Tribolium castaneum: one gene and its partner. The protein of the gene in region 1 purifies or fractionates together with the protein of each later gene. This does not show direct contact. Links are inferred from orthologs where the notes say so. Each region holds a gene or a part of one and is shown in the gene's direction. Other genes may lie near its edges. The genes, in order: PpD3 and p23.

The links.
Region 2: the proteins of PpD3 (region 1) and p23 purify together in Homo sapiens (affinity purification with mass spectrometry; 5 studies listed by BioGRID and IntAct, with this or other methods). This does not show direct contact. The link is inferred for Tribolium castaneum from reciprocal best matches to the Homo sapiens genes PPP5C and PTGES3.

The regions. Positions count from the first base shown.
Region 1 is NC_087396.1:11,943,333-11,951,416, reverse strand, and holds PpD3 (serine/threonine-protein phosphatase 5), read left to right. Parts: upstream 1-3,936; 5' UTR 3,937-4,037; coding exon 4,038-4,131; intron 4,132-4,297; coding exon 4,298-4,539; intron 4,540-4,588; coding exon 4,589-4,736; intron 4,737-4,783; coding exon 4,784-4,905; intron 4,906-4,952; coding exon 4,953-5,223; intron 5,224-5,273; coding exon 5,274-5,416; intron 5,417-5,750; coding exon 5,751-6,058; intron 6,059-6,103; coding exon 6,104-6,185; intron 6,186-6,235; coding exon 6,236-6,295; 3' UTR 6,296-6,501; downstream 6,502-8,084. Other genes in the region: Gnpat (dihydroxyacetone phosphate acyltransferase), read left to right, coding at 285-470, 518-694, 744-873, 1,857-2,846, 2,927-3,006, 3,186-3,347, 3,395-3,564, 3,612-3,673 and 1 more; claspin, read left to right, coding at 6,696-7,106, 7,154-7,291, 7,339-7,562, 7,620-8,084. UniProt on the Homo sapiens protein: Serine/threonine-protein phosphatase that dephosphorylates a myriad of proteins involved in different signaling pathways including the kinases CSNK1E, ASK1/MAP3K5, PRKDC and RAF1, the nuclear receptors NR3C1, PPARG, ESR1 and ESR2, SMAD proteins and TAU/MAPT.
Region 2 is NC_087398.1:11,207,750-11,215,920, reverse strand, and holds the start of p23 (prostaglandin E synthase 3), read left to right. Parts: upstream 1-3,809; coding exon 3,810-4,054; intron 4,055-8,171. Other genes in the region: Nost (nostrin), read right to left, coding at 1-348, 3,474-3,703. UniProt on the Homo sapiens protein: Cytosolic prostaglandin synthase that catalyzes the oxidoreduction of prostaglandin endoperoxide H2 (PGH2) to prostaglandin E2 (PGE2).

The DNA.
Region 1 (8,084 bases):
GGAAATGGTGCTAGCTGCATGCGCGCAGCGATTGTCTGGTCGACTGCTATTTTTACCGATATGTCTAAAGTTTATTTACTCCAGGGCATAGAAGACCTAAAATAACCTAACAGATACATACGAAAATGTCACGGTCATGATAAATATTAAACAAAGTTTATTGTTAGTGGGAACACTTGTAAACTGCGTTATCTCTATGAGTACACCTTAGTGAAATGAGTTGTAGTATTTAAGCACACACGTTCGCAGTCGTCTCAATGCATTTGTAAACAGAGGTTAAAGACATGTGTAGTTCCTCTAGGCGTTACCAGGACATTTTGGCCCCCAGAAAGACGGAATGTAGCAATTTTATGTGGGCTTCGAGGCAACTCAATCCCCAAGTTGCCTTCAAACAAGCCAAAAAGCCCTCACCCCAATACCACAAAGATGAAGTCGTCAAAAGCCCCAAAATTCAGGAACTGCTAATCACAGTAAGTCGATTTGTAAACGGTGTGCGAACGTAACGTCGAAATTTAAGCTGAGTGAGAAGGAACAAGTTACCAAAGAAGTGCTAGAAGGGCGGGTCAGGAATATTTTGGATGAAATTGGCTACAACAAGAAGTTGAAAGTTGTGAGATGGCTTGCTGTGGTCCTTACGAAAATTTGCAACAGAATTTGCTCCGGGATTTACCTGAACGAAGACGCAATACTTCAAGTAAGTTATGCGAGGGAAAGTAAAGGTTAAGTGCTGATTATTTTGATAGCTGAAATCTCAAATGGGAACTTGTCCTGTGATTTTTGTACCTAGTCATAGAAGTTATGCGGATTTTATTCTTATGTCCTTCATGTGCTTCACCGAGGATGTGGCGATACCCGCCATAGCAGCCGGAATGGGTAAAATTTTATAGAACTAGGAGGCGAAACGAGATCCTATTACCACAAAAAAATTCATTAAATTAATAATTTAAACCAGAGAACATGTGAAGTAATCTCAATTTTTGTGATATAATTTTCAGCCAGTCTTAGGATTTTTTCACAAAAAAACCACTGTTAATAAAATATCTGCGTTTTTAGCAGAGAAACACAAACACTGCTATAAATCACTGAAAAAGGCAAAAATATTTTTTTTCTATTCAGTGATTATTTTAGCACGGTTTAGTGAAATTTGGCAAAAAATAACCATTTTGTAACTAGTTCGTAACTATAGTCGTAACTTACAGCAGTTTTTTATTTCTAAGAAATCATCAGATATCACAACTTTACTACACAACATAATAGTTAAAAAAATATTTTTTTATACATTGGAGAAGGACAAATGCATTAAATACAATTATTTCTAATGTTGCATTTACTTTGTAGATAATGGAACTATAAGTATCATTATGTCTCTAGTATTTGAATAATAATCTGTACATTAATGAAAAATCTGAATTATTACAAGGTGTTTACAATTTATTTCCAAAATTTTTAAACTTTAGGGCTTTTTATTTTTATTATCTCAAATGGCAACCCTTGTTTATTTTTATATAATTTATATTTTATTCGACCTTCCAGCAATTCCTTATTTACAAAAAAAACATCAAATTACTGTAAAAATAATTTTAGCAAATTCATGATTTTTTATTGCAGAATAGGGGAATGCCAGTTTTACTTTTATATTGCTTAGGATCGTCCTCATTATTTATTATTTTTTATGTTTTAGCTAATTTATGTAATTATTTCTATGCTTTATTCTTAACTAAATTACACAACAAATTGGTAAATGTTTGTATTTTTTGTAGTATTATTTTTGATAAAAAATATAGACGTGTCGCCTCCTAACACTAGCCTTCGGTAATTTAACCGCGATCCTCAAATTTGCAATATTTTTGTAACAGATTTTCACGGTATGTGGGGTATGGGCACAGTCTTGCGCGACACTGGAGCCTTTTTCATGCGACGCTCATACAACGACGACCATTTATACTGGACGACTTTCAAGCAATACGTTTACCAGCTTGTCACCAAAGGAGACTTGCCATTGGAGTTTTTTATCGAAGGGACGAGAAGCCGCACAAATAAGTCGCTCACGCCAAAATACGGCCTGATTTTGATGATTCTTCGAGCATTTTTCTTGTCCCAAGTCCCTGACGTTCTTTTCGTGCCAATTAACATCAGCTACGACCGAATTTTGGAGGAAAAATTGTTCGCATTTGAGTTACTCGGCATTCCCAAGCCTAAAGAGTCGACGTCTGGGTTTTTCAAGTCGTTGAGCATTGTTAAGGAAAAATTCGGCTCGATTTACTTCGATGTAGCTGAGCCGATATCAGCGAAGAAGTTCTTTGGGCCGGATTTGGACCGAACCTTGCATAATTTGCAACCAATTCACATGCAAGAAATCACCGACTATGAAAAGAAATTAATTCCGTCGCTGGCGCATGAGATTGTTTACAAACAACAAAAGCATTGTATTATAACACCGTTTAATTTATTGGCCATTGTTTTGCACAATAATTTAACGAGTGGAAGGAATCTTTTGAGTGTTGATGAGATTATTGACGAGATTTTGGGGCTGAAAAAAGTCATTGAAAAGTTCGGAGCTTACGTCTTCATGGATGACCCAAGAAAATGCGTGCTAGAGGCTTTAGAAGTCCACAACAATTTCGTCAGAGTTAATGAGGAAGGAAAAGTCACTCTGGTCTGGGATGAAATCGTTGTGGGCAAAGTCAATGTATCCAAATTGAAAGCTCACGAACTCTCAGAAAAGACAATCACGTTTTCGGTTCCGTTTATGCTCTTACAAATTTATATTAACCCGACTTTGCATTATTTCGTGGACTTGGCCGTCTTAGTACTGATCGTAAAACACCAAAGGGCCCAAAGTCAAGGTAATTTTTGAGTTGAGTTAAAATTGTAGTTAGAATCTTCCACTAAATAGCATGTGGGTAATTGCATTCTTTCTGTACAGATGAACTTTTTGCGAATTATCACTTTCTGAGGTCTCTGTTGTCCCAGGAGTTTGTTACTTTTAACACCAGGGAAAAAATGGTGTGTGGGTTTTTCTTTTCGATACAGTGGAACCTCTACGATCCGAACTTTGTCTTTCTACATTTGAATTTCTCGTTTTTGTTATTTTTTAAAACTCTTGGCTTTGTTCGGCTTAGAGAGGTTACACTGTAGTTTTATTTTTTAATATTGCAGCTTCACCAGTGAGTTATTTCTTTTAGGAATTCACTTCAGCGTTAGCACATGCGGTCGATTTAAATTTATTGAGCAGAAACCAAGAATTATATGATCTCGGTGAAAATAAACAGTTGGAAGAAATTATTTATAACTGTATTGATTGTTTTATTTTTACTTATTTTGTGGTGTGTTCGGTTATTTTGGAGGTAAATTACTTAACTTGTGCTGCATTTTTTATAAACTATTATTACAGTTATCACGTGTTATTGAAGAGAAAACAATTTTGGCCAAAGTTCAGGAAGAAATTGAAATAAAGATAAATGAAGGTAAAGGATTTATCCATCCTTATTCCTTAAGTTTGGACACAATTACCAATTGTTTGAATGCGCTTGCGGGTCAAAATGTTTTGACAAAAAGTAGAAAGTACGGGTTTTATTGTTTTTTTCTTCGAAATTAATTGATTGTTCTAGGAGCGGCAGTGTTACTTATGAAATTAATGATACTAAAGTATTATTTATTAAAAATAGATTAGGTGAGTTTGGCCATTTATGTGTATTTGCCCTAAGTGTGTATATTTTCAGAGCAATATGTGACTCCGGCACAGGTGCTCCAAGAGAAATTCGAAAGTGTTCAGCTCCACTTAAAAAATAAGCTTTAAAAGCTAATGACTGTTTTTATGTTAAAACCAAGCCAAAGGTGTTAAAATTGAGTATTTTGGTGTGATTTTTAATAAATTGTTTTGAGTAATGGCAGTTGTTTGAATATGGCGGGCGTGTTTATGTTGGCAACTCCAGCGCAAACACAAATCCTCTATTTTTTTACCTTGATAAGTAATGAAGGGATTTTAAAGACTTTTTCATCCAATTTCTAAAACTAAGGTACAAAATTAAATAAAAATGAACACAGAAGTTAAAGAAAACTGTGTTATTACCCCCGAACTAGTTGAAGCCGGCGAGCGCTACAAAGCCGAAGCGAACGAGTACTTTAAAAGTAAGTTCCCCTCGTTATTTACTCAAAACCCACATGATTTGCAAAATAACAACCTCATACTCAATTCATTTAGCCGTATTTCGCGATTCCGCTCGAATTCGCTGCGAGAATTTCGCAAATTCCGGCGTGAATTTGACATAACCCCACTTTTTTTCCTCAATTTCAGAACAAAATTACAACGCCGCTATAGAACTTTACACTAAAGCAATCGAAGCAAATCCGAATGTTGCGATCTATTACGGGAATCGCAGTTTTGCCTACTTGAAAACTGAGTGCTTCGGCTACGCTTTAGCCGATGCTTCGAAGGCAATTGAGCTGGACAAAGGCTACGTTAAGGGGTTTTACAGGCGGGCGGCGGCCCACATGAGCTTGGGCAAGTTTAAGGAGGCCCTGAAGGACTACGAATATGTAAGTTGCGGCCCCTTTGTGGCACATTGTAGCCCTAAATTGGCCCTAGGTGACAAAAGTGAGACCTAATGACAAAGACGCCAAGTCCAAATATACGGAGTGTAACAAAATAGTGAAGAAATTGGCCTTCGAGAAGGCCATTTCGGTCGAAGATACCAAAAAGAATATCGCCAGTACTATTAATTTAGATGCAATGAGTAAGTTTTTATTTGGGGGGAAAACACATTTGTGAATGTTTTCACAGCAATAGAGAACGAGTACACGGGGCCTGAGCTTGAGGATGGAAAAGTGACTTTAAAATTCATGAAGGATTTAATGGAATTGTACAAGAATCAAGGCAAGCTGCACAGGAAATACGCCTACAAAGTAACACTTCGCCCTTTGATTCAAGACGTGTTAATTTTTTATTTTAGATTTTGTTGGATGTTAAGGCGTATTTTATGAAACAGCCGTCACTGATTGATGTTGAGATTGGTGATGAGGATAAGTTTACTGTTTGTGGTGATGTCCATGGTCAATTCTACGACCTTATGAACATTTTTAACTTGAACGGTTTACCGTCTGAAACAAATCCCTACCTCTTCAATGGAGACTTTGTTGACAGAGGTTCATTTTCTGTTGAATGTATTTTTACCCTTTTTGGGTTTAAACTGTTGTATCCGAATCACTTTTTCATGTCCAGAGGTATAATTACGCACCTTTTGGACTATTATTATTTTATTTTCTTTACACAGGAAATCACGAAAGCGCTACAATGAACCAAATGTATGGTTTCGATGGCGAGGTCAAGGCTAAATACACCGCTCAAATGGCTGAACTTTTCACTGAGGTTTACAACTGGTTACCACTAGCTCACTGTTTGAATAAAAGAGTTCTTGTAAGTGATATTAAAAAAAACTTGGACTATTTCGATGGTTTGGTTTAAAAAATCTCGTGAAATAACTCAGGATAAGCTTAAATAACCGAACTTTAGACATAATTTGGTGATCTTATTGCCTCATTTTTAACGAAATTTTACAAAATAATTGGCTTCTGACTTTTCTCAAATGGTTTTAGGGAAATTTTTCAAAATAACCTTTAGTTTTTAAATAAAATACAAGCTTAAACACCCCAATAAGGCAAATTCAAACCATTTTTGGTAAAATTTGCGATTTTGGAGCTTTGTATTTGACGAAATTTCTGGCAACTATTGCTATGAGAAAAATTTATAGGTGATGCATGGCGGTCTGTTTTCGACTGACGATGTTACCTTAAGTGAAATTAGTAAAATTGACCGCAACAGACAGCCCCCCGAAGACGGCCCCATGTGTGAGCTGCTTTGGTCAGACCCTCAGACTCAGAATGGACGCGCGCCCAGTAAAAGAGGAGTTGGATGTCAATTTGGACCAGATGTTACGAAGAGGTTTTTGGAATTAAATAAACTGGATTACATCATTAGAAGTCATGAAGTGAAAAATAACGGATACGAAGTCGCTCATGATGGAAAATGTATCACTGTGTTTTCCGCTCCTAACTATTGGTAAATTAATTTTCGAAAAAATGTTTTTCTTAATTATTTTTTTAGTGATACCATGGGTAATCAAGGTGCTTTTATTACATTAAAAGGAAAAGATATGGAGCCTAAGTTTACTACATATGAAGCAGTGGTATGTGTTGTACATTTTTTAATTTAAAACCTACATTTTTGTTCTTCCAGCCCCATCCAAACGTAAAACCAATGGCGTACGCACACTCTTTACTAAGTTTAATGTGCTAGTACCTGCCTTTTTAATGTAGTTAACGTAGGCATTTCATCACTTTTATTTTTTTGTATTAAAATGAGTTTTTATTGTTTCTGTTATTTAATTTTGTATCATAATCGAAAAGATACCTCTAGACTTAAAGTAAATAAAATATTTATTTATTACCAAGTTTCCTTCATTGTGACTTATACAATAGCAATAAAAATTCTACTACACTTTTTACACGTCTTTTATTTAATCACCACGATCAGCACTAATGTAGCGGACCAGAAAGTTCCCACTACACACAAGTTTTGAATTCTGGCGCTCAGAAAGCTTGGTGATTTCTGTTTATTGGGTTGGCGAGCTGCGTGTCAAACTAAGCGCGCGAAAAAGTTTGTTGTGTCAAGTTAGGTTAATGTTTCTCTTTAAAAAATGGAAATAACAGAAGATAAATTAAGTGAACATTCAGAAGATGAAAACGAAATGAATACACTGAACGTGAACAAAGTACGAAAAAAGCACAATGTTATTGATAGCGACTCAGAAGCTGAAGAAAATGATTTGAACGAGAAGGCGCCCCCAGCATTGGCAGAGCCCTCAGATGACGAGGAAAAAACTTCCATTGCTAATTCCGACGTTGCTAAAAAGAAATTAAAAAGAATATCAAGAATAAACAGCGACTCAGACGAAGAAAAAGACCATAATGAATCGGTGATAGAAGAAGAAGAAATTACGCCTCACAATAAGAGCTTTCCGGATGAAGCAACCGCAGTTGAGGCCCTAATTTACACTACCAACAGCAAAGGCAAATTGGTCCCAGAAAATGGTCCCACGAACGCCCAAGTAGTACTAGTACATGTTCGCCTAATTATTTAAAATAATTGTTTCAGAAATCGCGTTATTCTTTATATGATTCTGAAAGCTCAGAGGACGAAAGAGTCCAAACTACCTTTGAAGATGTGGACGAAACAGAATTGCCACCTACAGTTTACAGAAAATCAAGAAAAAATGCGGACAAACCTAAAAGAGTACGTCTTATAAATGTATAAACATTGTTAAGTTCTAACGCTTTTAGATGACGCCACAAGAAGCTGCCAAACAAAAAATTGAAATTCAGTCCGAATCTCAACGAATGTTGCGCGAATCTAACGTTAGTTTGCCTTATCACAAGCCAAAATCTTACACTATTAAAGAATTTTTGCAAAAAAGGGCCAAGCTGGCTTCCGCCTTGCCGCTCATTCCCAAGGCGCCCCCTTCTGTGGCCATAAAAATGAGCAAGGATCAGTTGGAGGAAGTTTCGTAAGTTCCCTCAAAAAAAAAAACGTCAAAAAAAATTCACTGCTCATTACTTTACAGAAAAAAATTAGATGAAAGAATCAAGGAAGTTGAAGAGTTCTACAAGTCTGAGAGTGAAGAAGAAGACGATGATACGAAAGAAACAGCACGGGAAGTTAGAAGCTGGCTTGATTTCTTGGTTGATAAAGCTGTAGACTCGGTTGAAAGTAAAATGAGGCAATTGCTTGTTGAAGAAAATGGTGAAAAAAAGGTTCAAGATCAAGATAAGAATTATTCTTCGGATTTATTTGACCAGGAGGATCCAATGGAATGTTCACATAATGAAGAGAATTCCGAGGTGCCGAAAGAAATTGAAGAAATTCCCAAAAAAGCCAACACTTTGGAGTTATTGAGAGACAAACTTAATCTCCAGCCTAAATTATCAGGAACTCCTGATGATATAATTGATTTAGAAGCAGGTGTTACAAAACCTAACGAAGTCAAAAAATTAGTAGAAAAATATTTCCAACACACCGCGAAAAAAGT
Region 2 (8,171 bases), on another chromosome or scaffold:
TGTTCGATGCTCGAGTGGTTCGAAGTGTAGGCTTGGAACTCCTCGACTTTGAAATCGTTTAAAGATTGTGATAGACGACACCTGGCCAATTGTCTCGGGATTTTGTAAAGACCGTCGTCTTCGTGGTCACGAAGCACCAGGTTTGGGTCACTTCCGCACTTGATAATGCCCACCACTGGCAAAATTTCGATGTCACTTTTGACGGGGGAGGGTTCAGGGGTTGCGACTTCGAAGCACACTTCACTTTTGAGCACCACATCGTTTTCGGGGGGTTCACCCTTTGATAGAAATTTGAAGCTGATTTTGGGGACGTCGTATTCCACTGGTTCCGTTGGTTCGTTCAGGTAACTACAAGGTGTGTTAAAATGATTTTCATCTAGTCAACTTTGAAAGTGGTTTAGATAATAATAATAAGCCGTCTTTATTAGAGTTGTAAATACAACAAGTAATAAATAAACGAATTGAATAGAAAAACTACTGAAGAAAAAAATCACAAAATAAATGAAGAAGAAAATGAGAATTTTGTGAAAAACCAAAAATTAGAAATATATGCTTTTATTTTACTGAAAACTCGAAAAATACGCACAGAAACTTGATGGCAATTTTTCTTGACTGAAATGCATAGTTTACGGAGATAGGGTGGTAAAGTAGTAACAAACATTTTATAGAAAACACTGACAAAATATAAGAATTATACAAGGAGTCTCTGCGAATTGGTAAAGTCACTTAAATAATTTAAAAATAAATATTTTTTTATAAAAAAGATACTAACCCCCTGTTTCAAAAATGAGCTACAATTCAAACTTATATTTTTTTAAATGCAACATACTAATTTTTTTGCATTTTTAGAAGTAGCTTTTAGTACTGATGATTTCGATCTAATTGTGTATTGAACAATTCTGCATAGTTTTTGAAATAATTTAATGTTTTTTTGACTTAAATACACTCTTTTTAATTCATATCACAAAAACTAAGAATCCTAAAGATATGGGATTTTCATCACTTTAAAAGGGAAATTTCTGACATAAATCTGTAACTGTTTAGCGCATTTCGATTAGGAACATAAAAATGAAGAAGTTTCTTGAAAGTTGAATAACTTGAAAACGTTAAATAGAACATCTCATATATTATTAAATTGTCGATCTAAAAACATGAAGTTTCAAATGCCAAAAGTTAATAACTAAAAAGATATTTGACATTAATAGTTAATTTTAACATTGGAGTTTACACGGGGTTTTCGTTAATTAACTGCGGGGTTCACTGCAACAAATGAGGAATAATGGCCTAAGGGTAATACTAAAGTTATTTAGGGTTATAATAAAATAATAATAAATTTACACCACACGATTAGTGATTATTATTCTAACCCGGGTTTCGACCCTATTTTAAGGTCATCTTCAGGGAGGCTATTTAAGCCTATTTTAAGCCCCCTGAAGATGACCTTAAAACAGGGTCGAAACCCTATTACTATTTATTACAACCATAAATTTATGTTTCACAATTATTTGCTAAAAACTTCACTTTTTGACTACTGAAATAATAGTTAATATTTTTTTAATGTTTAAAGTTAAGTATTATCAGCAAGAGACATTTAATTAATTTGAATTGAAGATGAGTCTAATAATTATAAAATTTCACATTAAAACAGAAAAGTGAAATTAACAAGTAATATTCTATTCAAAGATTTCTCTAATTGTACAATTGCAATTTTTTTGGTAAGTTTTTAGTTTTTGTATATTCCTTGTTTTAATCCTGTGTTTTTTTCTGTACTTCTCTTTAGACTAATGATGAGGATTTTTCCTTGAAACATGTTTCAATTTTAATATATGATTTGGACGTGCAAGTAGACATTTTTTCATAAACCCCTTCAGACATTTAATTGTTAAAGGTCTTTTAGATTCAAAATTAAAAAAATAGGGTTTTCCATTTAAAATTTGTAAGTTATTCAACTTGCAAGAAACCTCTGCATTTTTTTATTCCAATGACTAAAGTAAGCTAAAAAAATATATTCTGCAAAATTGACGAATAAAATGGACATTTTCTTTTTGCTGGGACATGTAATATTTGGTCTACTGGCAGCCAACCAAAGTTCTTTTATTTTTTGCGGAATATGGTCAAATTTTGTTTATTTATGAATAAAACGAGAACACGATTTTTATATTTTTTGTAACTGATATTTGGATCGATAATAATCTAAACATGAATAATAAATAGTAAAACCATAGTTTGTTGGAAAGCACCAATGATTTTTAACGCAATTTAAGACCTTTTATGAGTACAATCTAATTTACATATTCTCTAAATCGCAATTCCGAATCCATTATCATTACAACTCCAAGATTTTTTACGTTACTGAAGACACCTATTTGTTTATTCCCAATTTTGAGTACCTTATTCTATACGAAAAATAAATAAACATATATAATATATAATATATAATATATAATATATAATATATAATATATATTGTAATATAAAAGTATATGAAAAACGTTATCGATACGTGTAAAGAAATACAAGGTGTTCCATGTGAAAAAAATGAGTTATTCTACTTTTTATGTTTTGGCACACGCTACATATTATATACGAGCTTTAACTAAAAGTCGTCTATTTGCTAAGACTACAAGGTATTCTGAATTTTCCTGTTGCAAATTTTCAGGAAAATATTCATAGGCGATTTTGAAGTGATTTTTCAAAAATTGGTCTCTCTTATAACGAAAAACTGAATCATTCCAAAAGAAAAAAGATAGACCCATAATAGTTTATATAAAGTTACATTATTTCTTTGCGTAGATTCCAATTATGCGAAAATATATAGGGTGTTCCATTTAAAAAAATATAACTTTGGTATACAACACCCTGTGTATAAAAAAAATATTTTTAGTTTGTGGATTTTAAGTCGATCTCTTGGATAAATAAAAACAGCATAGCAATAGTTCAATTCCCAAAAAAGTTAAAGACCGATTACACACCCCTGGGTCACCTACTGTATATTAAAAATAGAAGCGGTTCAAAAGTTGAGCCTTGTGGAACACCGGACGTAATATTACCTGCTTTTGATTGGGAGTTGCCTATAGTAGCAACTTGTTTTTTTATTTTGTCAAATAAGGAAGAAAAAATAATTTTTAAAGCCATAATAGTATATTATGATACAAGTTTTATAAGCCACATTTTGTCGCACGCACGAATTTAGAGCACGACGAGCGCAACGACAAAATGCCTTATAAACAAGATATCATACAGTATTTTTTCTACTTCGCACTTTTTGTACCAACAAAATTAATTTCAAAATTTAGGAAATTTTGGGGCTGTTGATAAATTGCCAGTTTATTACAATATTCAAAAATTTCGTTACACTCATTTGCGAATTTATTGGAGACTTAATAAATGGAAGATGGTAATTTTTGATGTCTGTCATTAGTTCTATTTGTAACGACAAATTCAGTGACTAGATGAAAATCATTAAAACACACCTTGTACCATTTTCCATTGCGTCTTGGAATTTTTCGTCGTCGGTGTCACTATCACTATCACTGTTTACAAAAACACTGTTTGGCACAGTTCTAGTGCGGTCGTATTCCTTTTGGGCCGCTTCCAAGTCGTAAGAGCCCGATTTTCGCTCGGTAGCGGCTTTTTTCGAGTTGATATTCGGAACGGTGATTCTCCACTGCTGTTTCGTTATTTTATTGCAGATTTTTTTCATTTTCGCTCGCGTCGCACTCAATTGCTGCTACTTACTGACACTCATTTGTGAAAAAAGCAGGATAAACGCTAATTAGGTTGTGTGTACGGTTAGATAAGGAAGGAAAATGTTGACGTCGATGAAACTGTTAAAGGTAAATTATTGGGAAGGTCGCATATTGTGCTTGCTATCATATGACGGTGACATAACACAACACTCGAAAGTTCACATTTTTCACTTTTCGCACTCGCGCTTCATTCAGAACTACCGCAGGGCCAACGCGGAGCAAGACCTCACTATATTAGTCTGTGGTGCTATAATTATCACATGTGTGTGTGGCTTAGACGGATGTATTGATGCCCATCAGACCACGTGAGAACCGCTCTTTTCGACGACATTAAACTGATTTGTTGACGCGAGTTAATTCGTTTCAAATGACTCGGAAACGTATGCAAAAATGAAAGTTTTCCACATTCTTTACACGACTTTGCCATCAGAAATGTTGGCAAATATTTTGATAACGCAAATATTGTAAAATGATTCAGTAAATCAGTTTGGTCGTAATGAGGTCGCTATTTTAATTAACTGAACTAATTGGGACAGATAACTAACGGGGTAATTCAATTAGCTAATTGAAATGTTTGCATTTTTGCGCCGTATCCAAGTTCAAATAGAATGAATTAAAGAAAGTGCAGAAATACAGAATAAAAGACGGAAAAAAATTAATCTTTTCGTTTTTCTCTGCTCTAGTACAGTCAGATCTGGTGATTTCGATGCTAATCTGGACAAAACGCTGGTTTTTTCAAACTGTAAAAGGTGGTCACAGATGGTGATTATTTGATCACTGATTATTTGACAATTTTGTTGCCAGAATAAAACTTTACGGTCATTGAAAAAATATTGTAAGTAATTAACTCATTTGTTAATTATCTTTCACAATACTTCAATCTATGTATTTTTTTTCAGAATGTTTCTACCCTTCCTTTAATTAAAATTGATTAATTAAGGATATTAATTAATCGGTAATTTATGATTTCTTGTGTTACCTTAAAACAATACGGTGGTTAAACGATGTTCTCGAAAAAAAGCAAAATTTCGTTTATTTGAATTTCTAATTTTTACTTACATTCGATTCACTTCAATAAAAACCATTGTGGTGCAAATAGCGTACTCTGGGCATTAACTTTCATATGGGTTGTCATGGTAACAGGTTAGTCATTTGCACCACAATGGTTTTTATGAAAGTAAACCGAAAGTAATTATTTTATTCTTCAACAGTGCCAAAATTTACAGTTTTTTTTCTGTGTAAGAAAGTTTTGACAACTGTTTGACATTTCTCACTACGAAACATGAGATTATTTTTAACAAATTTAAGCAATTTTAAGGATCGGTTTATAGAAACGTCATTAATTTAATTCGCAATTAATTGCGTGATTAACGGATCACGTGACCAAATTGAGCAAATCTGATTGGTCCATTTGCGTTGTTGACTTTTAACAGCGAATTAAATTTTAACGAAGCTTTCTATAAACCGGCCCTAAGCTTTGTTGAGTTTAATTCGAAGATTAAAATGTTGTATTCAACTCGTTTTCATGTAAATCGGTTCATTTAATTTACCTCGTGGATAATAAACCCCTCGTTGTCATTCGACGTTTAAAAATCCGATTTACACTCAAACTCGGTAAATAAATAACTATTTTGGGACTAGCAATACTTTTTTACAGATATTTATAACAATTTTTTGCAGCTATTTAAAAGTAATTAATTAATTTTATTTATTAGAAATTGTAGAAAAATTCTGGAAAAATTCACAGGCATAAAGAAAATGACAAAAAACTGAACAGCATTTAGAATTCTGGGCGATTTATTAGTTCTAGATAATAGTAATAAATATACTTTTAATAGACTCACACTGTATAAATATTAACAAACTAGATTATGCAATATTATAACTATGTACTACACAAATAGTAAATTAAGTTCAAATGACGTAAGAATTTTTTGCGTTTCTCAAAAACATAGTTAGATAAATTTAATTAGATAATAATTGATTAATTTATTAGACCACTCCGGAAAATCAATTAAACGCAATTATTCGCAAAATTTTATTAAAAACAAGTTGGAAATCCACCAAATTATACAAAAAAAAATTTGTTTTCTGTTGAAACCTGATAAAAAAACTAAAAAATATCAAGTTGAATTAAAACTAGAATATGCTACTCTCGATTTAGTCTATTTTTGAACCGAAAATCATATTTTGGAAGACCTTGTCTGAACATATAATATTTAGAAACAACGAAACAATGATGTTAACTAATTTATTGTCACGTTCTTCAACCAAAAACTCAATTATTTAGCAAAATTATTTTAAAAAATAGATAAAATTCGGCCAAAAATTGTATAAGTTTTGCATTTTTCAAGTATTTGAGCACTTTTTTTGAAATAAAAATTAAGTTTTTTTTCGAAATTAATCTAATAAAATACTAAATCGACTTGAAAAAGGTGTTATTTTACCCTTTTCAAACTTCAAGCAATTCAAAAAATGACTATGTTTTTTGTGAGACTGAAAAATCACATAACTAAGTAAAAAATTATAATAATTTTGTTCTTTCCAAGCATATACTTTACCACATTTTACAGCCTGATACGCAATTATTTTGCGAAATTTCATTAAAAACAAACTGAAAAATTTTATTATTTTCGAAAATTTTGCCTGAACTGGGTAAAAAATCGTAAACTTAGGTCGAAATTGAGGTTCTTTTAGCTTGTATCGCTGGACTTTAAAGCAAAGACTTAAGACTGGTTTATCGAAGTGTCATTAATTTAATTCGAAATTAAATATGTGATTAACGGATCACGTGACTAAATTGAACTAATTTGATTGGTCCATTCGTGCTGTTAACTTTTAACAACGAATTAAGTTTAAACAAAGCCGGCCCTTAATCTGAAAATTAAGTTCATTGTGCTAATTTTGGCTTTTTTGCGGAAATGGGTTAAAAAAACATCTAATTGAATCGAAATTAGAGTTTGTTACTCTCGATTTAGTTCATTTGTAAACCGAAAAAGATGTTTTGGAATATTTTATTAGTACAAATGCCCAAAAATAGCGAAACGAATTGATGTTGTTAACTATATTTTCCAAATAGTTCATTCTAAAACACAAAATTTCATTTAAAAATATACAAAATGCTTCAAAAAATTGTAAAATTTTCGCATTTTTTGAGTATTTAATTTAATTTTTAAAATAAAAATTTACCCTTTCTCGAAATTTTTTGTCTGTTTAAACACATTTTTGAACAACACATTTAGTTAAAGAATAAAAGACGATGGATGGATGCTAAATCGAAAATGGTGTTAAGTATTTTTAATTTTTTTAACGAGCTTTTAAGCACGTTTTTTGAACTAAATTCTCAGGTTTTTTAGGCTAAAAAATCATATACCTTATCAAAATCGAAAATTATATAACTTTTTCTTTTTTTAACTTTACTATTTCCATTAAAAATGAGCCGTAACATTGAATTTTATCGAAAATTTTGCTAATATTGAATGACAAATAAATTAGTTCGAAATTGAAATTCTTTTACTTTTGGCATGTTTCACTCAAATCGGTTCGTTTTTGGAGCAAAGACCAGAGTTGTGTTAAATTACGCTTAAAAATTACACAAGTAAATCAAAATTGATATTATCTCCATTCGGTTAAAAAATAGCCAGAGGAACTCCAAAATTGTGTTATTTTCAAGCATAACATCGTTTTTAAAGTCCATTCTCATTTTTTGTGGAATTCTAAACAGACTGAAAAATTAAAAGTCAAACAATTCGAGATATTTTCCACAAAATTACGTTAAAAACAAGTCGAGATAAACCACCAAATTAGTAAAAAAATGGTGGTATTTTTGTCTTTTTCAAGCTAAACACTATTGGATAGATTTATATTAAATTTGATGAAAATAGGTTTAATTGGTCTGGCAACTTCTTGCGCTATGAGCTGGTAAGTTCTTTTTTTTGCCGACAACACTGCCTACATTATAACATAACACCGCAAGATGAGTAACAGGATATGCATTAAGCCACAAGAGCAGAAAGAAGAGTTACTGACGCACATCGTATCAAGTTCCTCCTGTGCTGCACAAGTATCAGAACATGTGTTCAGCGGCCGTAATAAAGTCGGTTATTATGGATTGTAATTATACAAAGAGTTAGCTGAGCTATTGTGGTTTGAGTACAATATCAGTTTTTATGGGTAACAAAGTATCAGCTGGAAGCAGGAACCGAATAAACCACCTACCTTCTAACGTCCTTTCAGGTGAATAGTTGAACTTTTAGTCTTGTAATTTCTAATAGAAATCGATTAATTTGCAATGCCAAATAAATCATACAAGTCAAACTAATGCAATTTCTCTAATAATTTTGCTCCACTTTGTAATTTTTACGATTTTTTAAAACGGGGGAATTGTCGGTTTCCCAATTATTTGATTCCATACCGTTCTTG